Linked DNA regions of Nothobranchius furzeri. The protein of the gene in region 3 interacts with the protein of the main gene of each other region in a biochemical or structural test. Links are inferred from orthologs where the notes say so. Each region holds a gene or a part of one and is shown on either strand. Other genes may lie near its edges.

Region 1 (3,756 bases), on a different chromosome or scaffold from region 3:
AAGGTTAAAATTCGGTATGGCATTTTCCCATAAGACCTCTCCTTGCTGCTTCAAGCAGAGTCCATCTGAAATTAATTAAATGTGTAAAAGCTAACTATAGCTTTCTGTGAGGTTAGTGGAATTCAAGACACCTCGGCAAAGGGTCTCAGTGACCCCCGTTAGCTTTTGTGCCCTCCAGTTTTTGGTGATCCATTATCTTGATGTTCTTTTCGGCATTTTCAACGTTCCTCAGCAGAGTCTCCAGCCTTCGCTTTATCTTCTTCTGGTCCTCCAGAGCGCAGCTGATCACCACGGTCTGAAACTTCTGGTCAATAGGGACGAGCGGTGCCTCCGTGACGCAGGCAGCGTGCAGGGCCAGCAGCTGCTGACGGCCACCTTCCATGTCGCTCAGCAGCTTTTTCACAATCTCGTCTATCATAGACGTGGCCTTGAGTAGTGCATCCTCCTGTTGGGGGTTTCTGATTGTGCCAACAGAGATCTCCACAGACAACGTTCGGCCCATCAGACGGTTCGCAGTCAAAGATAACTCTTCCCTCTCACCTAGAAGACATGTAAACATATTACTAAATCTTTATAGGAAAGAAACTGCTTTTAATGCGGCTGTAACAGCACATCAATAGTCATTTCATATTTCTAAAAGTTTATTTCAATGAGTACAAGCTCTGATTTGTCTGAGATCCCACCCCACACCATAATACTGCCCCCACTGAAACCTGTTAAGCAATATTCATGATGTTCTCCATGATTCTGCCAACTTGTCAATAATAACAAGCTGACACCAAAATACCACTGATATTAATTGGAAGAAATGAATGCAATAACATTTCCAAACATATTTTTTATTGGGATGGACGATGTTTCTCTGGAGCATTTTTTGCCATATTGCTTGTTATGGTCATCACATCGTACAGCAACCAATAAAGTAAATGCTTTGTCGAAAAACTAATAATTTTCATTTCCTCTGAAACATGCAATCCCGTTCTTAATGACTGAATCATGATCCATCCATCAAACTCCCCTCTGACAGTCCCTCCGCTGTATGCGCATACCCGTATTTGTGGATGTATTGCGCATTCTTGGCTTAGAGTAGTTGAACAGGAAGCAAAGTCGGAGCCGGACTGCCTAGTGTTTAACGGACAGAATGTTCGGTTATGTTTGCAAATTTTATTCAAAGATTAGGTTATAACTCATCTTTTCTTGTCATCTAGAATCTTCTGGTGCTGATCTGTAACAGGCCCTTTTGCGCCATGAGAATCTATCGTGGCTGCAGGAACTGAAGTAGGGATAATCCCAACCCACCTCCCCACCTAGTGGACACTTATATTGTGTAATGCCTGAAGTCTGTTGCATCTCTGTCGGAGGTGGGTGTTTTTTTTTTTTTTGCATAGCAAAGCTGCCTTCCCAGTGGAGGGTAACTCTGAAGTGCCTTTTTTTCCCTCCACCTGAACCAATCCTCATGTAACCCTCTGATCTCAATTAGCACGACTCAGGGTTGCGAATGACCACAGTCACCAATTCTTGTCATATGTCTTGCCCATGTATGTCTGATCTCTGAATTGTGTGTACTGAAACTCTAATTTCCCTCTGGGATTAATAAAGTATCTTTGATTTGATTTTGATTGACACTCACGGCAGTGACTTTTGCTTACAAATGTGGTCTGCAGTAACCAAATTTGACCACAGGATGTCAGTCTTACATAATGCACCTTTACATAAAGCCCTTCTTTCAAATCCCTGACCAGTTGAGAGGAGTTTCTAGGTGAACCATGGAGCTCGTGTGAATCATACTAACTTACATTAATGAGGTTTAATGGAGCATAAACCAACATGACTAGACGGTCTACCCTGGTCAGACTCTGGATTTAAATAATGAGCTTTAAGGGTTAGGCCTTTTTGTCTGTTTACAGCGGAACCAAATCAATAAACCAGATGTAGGCTATTGACTCACACGATCCAGAGGTGAAACATGAGCCTGGTTCACACAAACTGGGTCTGGGTGAGATCAGAGGAGATGGGATTCTGGTAGAAATACATTAACCGTACTAGTTCCCCTTTATAACCGCGTATCTTCCCTGGCATTAAGCCGTGCGTGACTTTTGCGCTTATGTAAGTTAAGAGAGAGTTAGCAGCTTCACCAGCACAGATGTTCCTCATTTCTTGACTGTTCTGTATGGACTGAATCATTTCCAGGATGCACTCCCTTTCCTGCTCCATGGCAGATGCTGCTTCTCGTAAAGCCTCCACTCTGACACAGAAAGAGAGACAGCATATGAAATAACACGCTGCAAACCAGTTATGTTTGTTATGAAAAACATTTATTGTCACATTGCCCTGTTTACAGTGTTTATAAAAGGTTTATGCCAATAAATGTTAGCGGCCGGGGCAAATAGCGGCTCCGTAGCACACATGGTACAACAAGGGCCTGTTACCTCGTTTCCAGCTGATCCAAACTTTCCAGGAGTCGCCCCGAGCGGTCTGCCATAGAAAGCGTCCTGCTGAACTTGCTGCAGAGGGCAGCTTCGTTCATTTTCGCTTGTATTTTCGCTTGAGCCATAATGAAGACGAAGATGATGGCTACAGTGCTTTCCCTCGGTGAGCGCAAAATCCAGTGTGTGTCCCTCCGAGCCGTCCAGCTGGGTGTAAATCCTCGGACTGAGGCAGGCAGCAGCAGCGCCCCATGGGGGGAACATTTCCTAACATGGACTTCCTTCACTCCGGCAGAAAGTTCCCGAGGAGACCAGAGCTGGAGCTCCCAATCGTAAGGAGCGTGGACCAGCAGAGGTCCGTGAGCAAGCTCCTCCAGGTCCACGGAAATAAAAGACCTATAATGTTCCAACTCACTTTGCAGTTTTAAGTAATGTGTCTTGATTTATTTGGGCATAATTTTTATTAGGCAGATTGGTAAAGTAATCAAGTTATTCTGATAAACTTATCCAGGCCTATATATATATATATAATTCATTTTCACTCCAGACTACAGATGAAAGCCTGTGGTGGTCTGCAACCCGCAACTCTGGAGCCACAGTGGACCTTCCAGAATGGCTTTTACTTTATAATAATCATAGATATAATAGAAAAAGTGAGATTTAAGCAGCCTTTTGTTATGGATTAATTGAACTGAATTCCCACAACGCAGTGACACCTGTCATCTAGAGGTGAAAACTGCATTACACCCCTAGGCCTCTCAGTTTCCATGATTATGGCCTTTTTATGAACAGTCATGTTGTGCTGTTTATCATGTATATTTTAAAGACTTACTTGTCCATAAGAAATGTTACCAACTCTGCATCAGTCTGGGCTCGTCTTCCCTCTGATCACCTCTCCGTCCAATCTTCTTTTCGAGCTCCCCATGTGTATGTCGTTTGATGGCTTCCGGGGGAGCTGATTACCCTTTTGGGGGAGCCGTGATTTCAACCTCCCCCAAAAATCGCCAAGAAAATTTCAAAAAGATGTATTGCCTTGGTTATCACAGTACAGGCTTTTATGGATTAAAAGAAAATCATAAATAATTCTTGGAAGGGGGGAAACTCCAGGTTGCTGCTTTAAAGTACCCATGAGATTTTTACATCTATTTTTTAAAAATAATTTCCCTAAATATAAATATCTGGTACAAAAAATACATTCATACACTTTTGGCAAAAGTTTTCTTCCTAAACTCAAAATCTAATAGGAACAAAATGGTGTAAATATTTATGAGACGTCTAACCTTAACCTCAGAATTCTGATTATTTTTCCCTCAGAAAAGAGAAAAAGAAC
Region 2 (2,940 bases), on a different chromosome or scaffold from region 3:
AGTTAAACTTAAGTTTATTTATATAGCGCTAAATCACGACAAGAGTCGCCTCAAGGCACTTCACATAATAAACATTCCAATTCTAGCTGAGACGTTCTCTGCTGTTTCCTGGGCGATAAACCGACAACATCCTTCCCCGTTGTGAGTCGAGATGGGCGAGTCCATGAACGTTCTCTAATCCTAGAGTTTCACCGTCTATAATCTATCAGCGGCTAATGCAGGAGATAGGTGTAGGAGACTATTTTCACGTTTAGTCTGCAGGGCAAACTCGTATCGCAAAAATAACAAGTAAAAACCGTTAGTTTCTCAGTGAACTTGGCCTTTAAACGTGACTTGGGTCCGAGTCCAGAATAGTACTCTCGGTGGATTTTTGTTACTAGAAAACTTAAAAACACCTCCTAATCCTGACTTATGTCCATAAAAAATGCAAAGAAATGAAAGAAATTTTGTTTTTTTTTTATAGCTTCGAAGAAAACATTTATGCATGGTGTTCTGCTGTTGCCCAATGAATCATGTGTCAGGCCCACTCTGAAAGTCAAAAAATGCAACGTCGTGAAGGCTGGAGTCTGTGAAGTTGTTTATTCAGTGGAGGTCAACACAAGAGCACCAATCTATCATGTAGCTAATTAAAAATGAAAGGCACGATGGCTGTGATTGATCTGTAACACTAAAGCTCATGCATCCTGAACATGCTGCAGGCATGACAAACCAAAAGAAGACTCCACAGAAGCTAGAACAGTTAGAAGTTTTAAGAATAAAAACATAAGCAGCCTTGTCTGTATCAGCTGATATTCATCTCAATGATATATCCAGACACCATTTTGATTACTTGTGAGTCTCTCCCCCCTCCTGGCTATTATTGTACTGATTCCCTCTCTGGTCCGGGAGGCCCCGGCGCAGCTTAAGGCCTGCTCTTCGCTGCGGTTTTGTCCATTATGTTGAGCACATCATCCAGGATGGATGGGCCAAGATCCAGCTCCAGGGAGAGGAATGACCCCGTGATGTGGGCGAGGGAATCCTGAGATGCACTCTTTTCCTTGGAAAACTCAAACTCAAAGTCACTCATGCGTCCCTCTTCCACCCCGCTGTCCCTGTCCACCCAGTCTTTATTGCACTTGGAGAGCTCTGTTTTGAAGCTCGGGGACATGTCATCGTTGAAGCATCCGTAACCGTTGTGGGTGCCGTCTCCGTTGAAACTCCGGCTGCCGTTACTGCGCTCACTCTGGAAGTCCCCTTTACCGGTGAAGCTGTCGTAGCTGTCGCTGCTCGTGTTGCTGTTCACGCTTCCGTTGGCCTTACAGAAGCTGCTGGTGTGGCCGTTGATGAAATATGACGAAGGCTGATCGAATCTTCTTTCACTCTGGTTTAACTTGTTGGCCTTGGCGACAGCCTTGGACTTGTGCGCGTTTTCCAGCAGATCTAAGAGGACGTCAGGCTTCGAGTGGATGTCTGTAAATGGAGACGAAGGCTCGCTGTCGAAGACGTCCAAGGAGTGCAGCAGAGCATCAACCTGCAGGATTTCAACCTCCTCAACTACTTCAGCTTTCAAAAGAGAAGAAGGTCCCATGATGTCCTCCATGGGGGGCATTGGGAAAATGGCGGAGGAGATCAGAGGAAGGGTGAGAGCCTGGCAGCCACCGATAGTCGGGAGTGAGATGGCATTTTTAAGTACGGGAGAGGGCGTCTCAGCAAAGGAAGCGTCACCTGTGCTGTTTGCTCGCAGAATCTCCGATTGGACGCCAAACTGTGGGTTGGCATTTCCCTTTCCTGGTAGAAGCTCGTACTTCCCCTGAAGGAAGGACATGTCTCCAAAGGCATCTCTCTCTCCGCCTCTGCCGATGTGGATGGTGTGGCGAAAGTCTCCCAGCGGCGGGCTGATCATGTCAGGGGACAGAATGTCTCTCAGCCGACACTTTTTCCCCTTTTTACTGTTGGTGGGTTTCAGGTAAATGGGTGCTTTTGCTGGCATGCTGTTCCTGTGCAGGATTCTCAAATGTGCAGGACAGGAAGCTCAGAAATGCTTCTGCAGGGTCTGAATGCTGCGGTTCCCCAAGGGAGGAGATGGAGTTACATTCTCAGAACCAGGATGCTTATACAGGACTCTGAAAATAATCCCTGCATCAGTCCAGAGATGGAGATGTTCAGCAAAGGGGCTCTTTTCTGAAATCAGAGACAAAACGGTAAAATATCAACATTTTTAAGAAAAATGTCCAATTTTATAGAGAACAGATTTAAAACACCTGTTTTGTCTTCTTTAAACAAAACCCACTGAATCCCTCAAGGAATAAAAACCATTTTCACGCTCACATTCGCACACCAGAGACTTTCTTGGCCTCCTCACATCTCTGGAAGTGCTAATGTGGAACAGCTGGACGGCAGATTGGAGGAGAAGGGGACTTTGGACGGATCAGAGGAGGGCAGCCTGTCTTTAGAGCGAGCTACTGCTCAGGCATGCCCAGACAGAAGGAGCTACACCGGGGAGGGGGTTACAGAGGTTCAGAGAGAGATAAAGTCAGGAATTATAGTGTGAGTGGATCTTAGGAGAGAAGGTGGTGCAGACGGAGCTTTGAAGAACCGAGGCCCGACGACAAGCCAAGAGCGTCGCCTTAAAAACTCAGGTCGACTGTTGAAGAATAAGAGAAAACGCTCTGGGTGAGGTGGTGGTGGTTTAGTGTGTGTGTGTGTGTGGGGGGGGGTGGGGTGGGGGGGGGGCACCAGCAGGAGGGGAGCCTGTCCTTTTATAGACATATTTATTTCTGCGAGGACTGACAACATTAACCCTCTGATAGAGTGCCTCAGTGTCTGCACCCTACACCCCCAGCCTCCTCCTCCTCCTCCTCCCTGCCCAAATAAGAAAACCTCCAAAACATCCACATTCCTGCTGCACCCGACCGATACCAAGCCTCTGAATCAGCCTCATCACAGTCCCTTTAAGGAGGC
Region 3 (3,656 bases):
GAGCAGTCTCTACACAGCTGAGACTATCTGTGGGTTTGGTGGCACTCCGACTTCCTAATTTTCCAAAATACCAGAAATCCTCCCCCTCCAATCAGAAGAAATCCAGTTAACATAAATCCAAAAAACCGTGCGTCTTCAATGTCCACGGACAGCTGGGAAAGGCATGTAATATTCCACACCTTCCAGAACTCCAAAATGTACCCCACTGGGTGTGTTCTATCTGGACAAGCTGGAGCCCCCAGCTCTGTTCTCATTGCTGAAAAACTTGTCAGTCGCGTTGAATGACCATTTGACCTAATCCGTAATTCAATAAAATTTTAACTTTCAGGAGAAATGCAGAGAAGCGCTCTGTAGACAGACAGGACAAGAGCCTTGGGAAAAGATAAGGGAGGAGAGACGAGAAGGGACTGCACTCTTCGAGTGCCGGAAGAAGAAGATTCCAGCACATAAAGAAGATCAGCCACCATATGATTCAGGAAATCCCAAGAAGCAAAGATGTGGCTTTTATTTTTCACTTTATCTGCTAGTATTTTTAATAATCAGCACACAAAAGTATGGATGGTCCTTGAGTCGTGGTCTACTCACTAGTATGTAGCACAGAGCTGGTAAGATGCAGCGTGGAACAGCAGCAGGGTGTTGGTGTGGTCATCCAAGGTCCAGACTGCTTCTTCTCCCCACAAACAGAAGCTGGTTGCTATACTGACGATAGAGGATGGAGGTTTGTATGGTTCCAGCCTTCGAATGGCCTGAAGACTCAGAGAGTCAACAACCAGCAATCCGGGACCGTTGGAGAACCATAACTAGTAAAGACACAGACCCAAGCAACACAGCAACGTTCAGATGTTTGACATTCAAGTAAGCAGGTAGAATATGAAAGTAACGAAAACTACATTTAGAACCAAAACCAAGGAACTGTGTATTAGTGCATATGGTGTACATTAAAGTAACGACCTTAACAAGAAAACTAGAGTTTCAAGGTAAGTCAGTATTCAGGGTTTCCCCCAGCGCTTTATAAGCCTGGCAGCCCACCAGGCTTTGCTTGGCCACCCGCCAGGCTAAGCGTCATGTCCCGCCCCCCTCCCCAACCCTACCGTGTCCGATGACACGAACGGCGCAATGAAACTAGAGCCCTCCATCAGCTGACACTGGTGAGAAACAGCAGTGGACGTGTGCAACCCCCTCACTCTCACAGAGGAGTGCTGCGGGACAGAGCGTGTGACCCCCCCCCCGACAGCCGAAGCCGCCAAGCTTGACTCATTTTGTAATGCTGCTATTTAATTTGTTAACAAAGGGCAAGTAATATGAGATCTTTCTCTTCCCTTTTTTATATATTTTTTGCTTTGATTTTATTTTGATTCCTTTTGAATGAATTAAAAAACCCTTTGGCGCTGACTAGAGGCCTGCTCACTGGCCGAAATCATGGCTCTGCTCACCTGCGAGCCACTGCTGACCAGAGCCATGCTTCTGACTGGAAATGGTCGTTGTCTCAGATCCGAGTCCTTCAGACCAAATACTGTTTTATTCAAGGAGTGTGAACACAAGTAGGTCTCCCCCTCCAGAGGAAGGTCATCCACCAGGTTGAACACCGCCACCAGGCCATCAGACATCCCAGCAAACACCTTGGCCAGGCCCTTGGAGGGAGAAACACATCCGGTCACTTTCACATTAGTCTTTGTATTTAATCATATGGTTCTTTTGTCAGTTCTGATCACATGAGCCCATTTACACTTGGGTCAGCTCAGTCTGGCCTTGGTAGGGTGTTTTATATCTATACCACTTTTTGGCCTCCAATTCAGTTACGTTATACAGGTCCTTCTCAAAAAATGTGCATATTGTGATAAAGTTCATTATTTTCTGTAATGTACTGATAAACATGAGACTTTCATATATATTAGGTTCATTACACACAACTGAATTAGTTCAAGCCTTTTATTGTTTCTAATATTGATGATTTTGGCATAAAGCTCATGAAAACCCAAAATTCCTATATAAAAAATTAGCATATCATGAAAAGGTTCTCTAAACGAGCTATTAACCTAATCATCTGAATCAACTAATTAACTCTAAACACCTGCAAAAGATTCCAGAGGCTTTTAAAAACTCCCAGCCTGGTTCATTACTCAAAACCACAATCATGGGTAAGACTGCCGACCTGACTGCTGTCCAGAAGGCCATCATTGACACCCTCAAGGAAGAGGGTAAGACACAGAAAGAAATTTCTGAATGAATAGGCTGTTCCCAGAGTGCTGTATCAAGGCACCTCAGTGGGAAGTCTGTGGGAAGGAAAAAGTGTGGCAGAAAGCGCTGCACAACGAGAAGAGGTGACCGGATCCTGAGGAAGATTGTGGACAAGGACCGATTCCAGTCCTTGGGGGACCTGCGGAAGCAGTGGATGGAGTCTGGAGTAGAAACATCCAGAGCCACCGTGTACAGGCGTGTGCAGGAAATGGGCTACAGGTGCCGCATTCCCCAGGTCTAGCCACTTTTGAACCAGAAACAGCAGCAGAAGCACCTGACCTGGGCTACAGAGAAGCAACACTGGACTGTTGCTCAGTGGTCCAAAGTACTTTTTTCGGATGAAAGCAAATTTTGCATGTCTTTCTGAAATCAAGGTGCCAGAGTCTGGAGGAAGACTGGGCAGAGGGAAATGCCAACATGCCTGAAGTCCAGTGTCAAGTACCCACAGTCAGTGATGGTCTGGGGTGCCATGTCAGCTGCTGGTGTTGGTCCACTGTGTTTTATCAAGGGCAGGGTCAATGCAGCAGCTATCAGGAGATTTTGGAGCACTTCATGCTTCCATCTGCTGAAAAGCTTTATGGAGATGAAGATTTCATTTTTCAGCATGACCTGGCACCTGCTCACAGTGCCAAAACCACTGGTAAATGGTTTACTGACCATGGTATTACTGGGCTCAATTGGCCTGCCAACTCTCCTGACCTGAACCCCGTAGAGACTCTGTGGGATATTGTGAAGAGAAAGTTGAGAGACGCAAGACCCAACACTCTGGATGAGCTTAAGGCTGCTATCGAAGCATCCTGGGCCTCCATAACACCTCAGCAGTACCACAGGCTGATTGCCTCCATGCCACGCCGCACTGAAGCAGTCATTTCTGCAAAAGGACTCCCGACCAAGTATTGAGTGCATAACTGAACATAATTATTTGAAGGTTGACTTTTTTGTATTAAAAACACTTTTCTTTTATTGGTCGGATGAAATATGCTATTTTTAGAGGAATTTTGGGTTTTCATGAGCTGTATGCCAAAATCATCAATATTAGAAACAATAAAAGGCTTGAACTACTTCAGTTGTGTGTAATGAATCTAAACTATATGAAAGTCTAATGTTTATCAGTGCATTGCAGACAATAATGAACTTTATCACAATATGCTAATTTTTTGAGAAGTACCTGCATAAGTTCAATGTATTACTATTATTATTATTGTTATTATTATTATTATTAAAAAACTCACCCCCACATCACTCCCACACCAACCATCACATCCTGCAGGGCAAAGTCAATGACCCTGTTTCATTGCTATGTTTATTTATTTGGCAGACACTTTTATCCTTAGCAACGTACAATTTATAACCTATAGGGGATGTTGTGATCTGTGAGGGGAACCGGAGTGCCCGGAGGAAACCCACGCGTGTGTGGA

What was found.
Region 1: the proteins of lrrk1 (region 3) and bag2 form a complex in vitro, tested with the Homo sapiens proteins (2 studies listed by BioGRID and IntAct, with this or other methods). The link is inferred for Nothobranchius furzeri from reciprocal best matches to the Homo sapiens genes LRRK1 and BAG2.
Region 2: the proteins of lrrk1 (region 3) and cdc42ep3 form a complex in vitro, tested with the Homo sapiens proteins (2 studies listed by BioGRID and IntAct, with this or other methods). The link is inferred for Nothobranchius furzeri from reciprocal best matches to the Homo sapiens genes LRRK1 and CDC42EP3.

The regions. Positions count from the first base shown.
Region 1 is NC_091752.1:19,643,852-19,647,607, forward strand, and holds the start of bag2 (BAG family molecular chaperone regulator 2), read right to left. Parts: upstream 2,809-3,756; 5' UTR 2,555-2,808; coding exon 2,430-2,554; intron 2,246-2,429; coding exon 2,136-2,245; intron 541-2,135; coding exon 146-540; 3' UTR 1-145. UniProt on the Homo sapiens protein: Co-chaperone for HSP70 and HSC70 chaperone proteins. Acts as a nucleotide-exchange factor (NEF) promoting the release of ADP from the HSP70 and HSC70 proteins thereby triggering client/substrate protein release.
Region 2 is NC_091752.1:7,954,148-7,957,087, reverse strand, and holds the end of cdc42ep3 (cdc42 effector protein 3), read right to left. Parts: intron 2,161-2,940; 5' UTR 1,970-2,160; coding exon 902-1,969; 3' UTR 565-901; downstream 1-564.
Region 3 is NC_091749.1:7,384,511-7,388,166, reverse strand, and holds part of lrrk1 (leucine-rich repeat serine/threonine-protein kinase 1), read right to left. Parts: intron 1,632-3,656; coding exon 1,434-1,631; intron 801-1,433; coding exon 586-800; intron 1-585.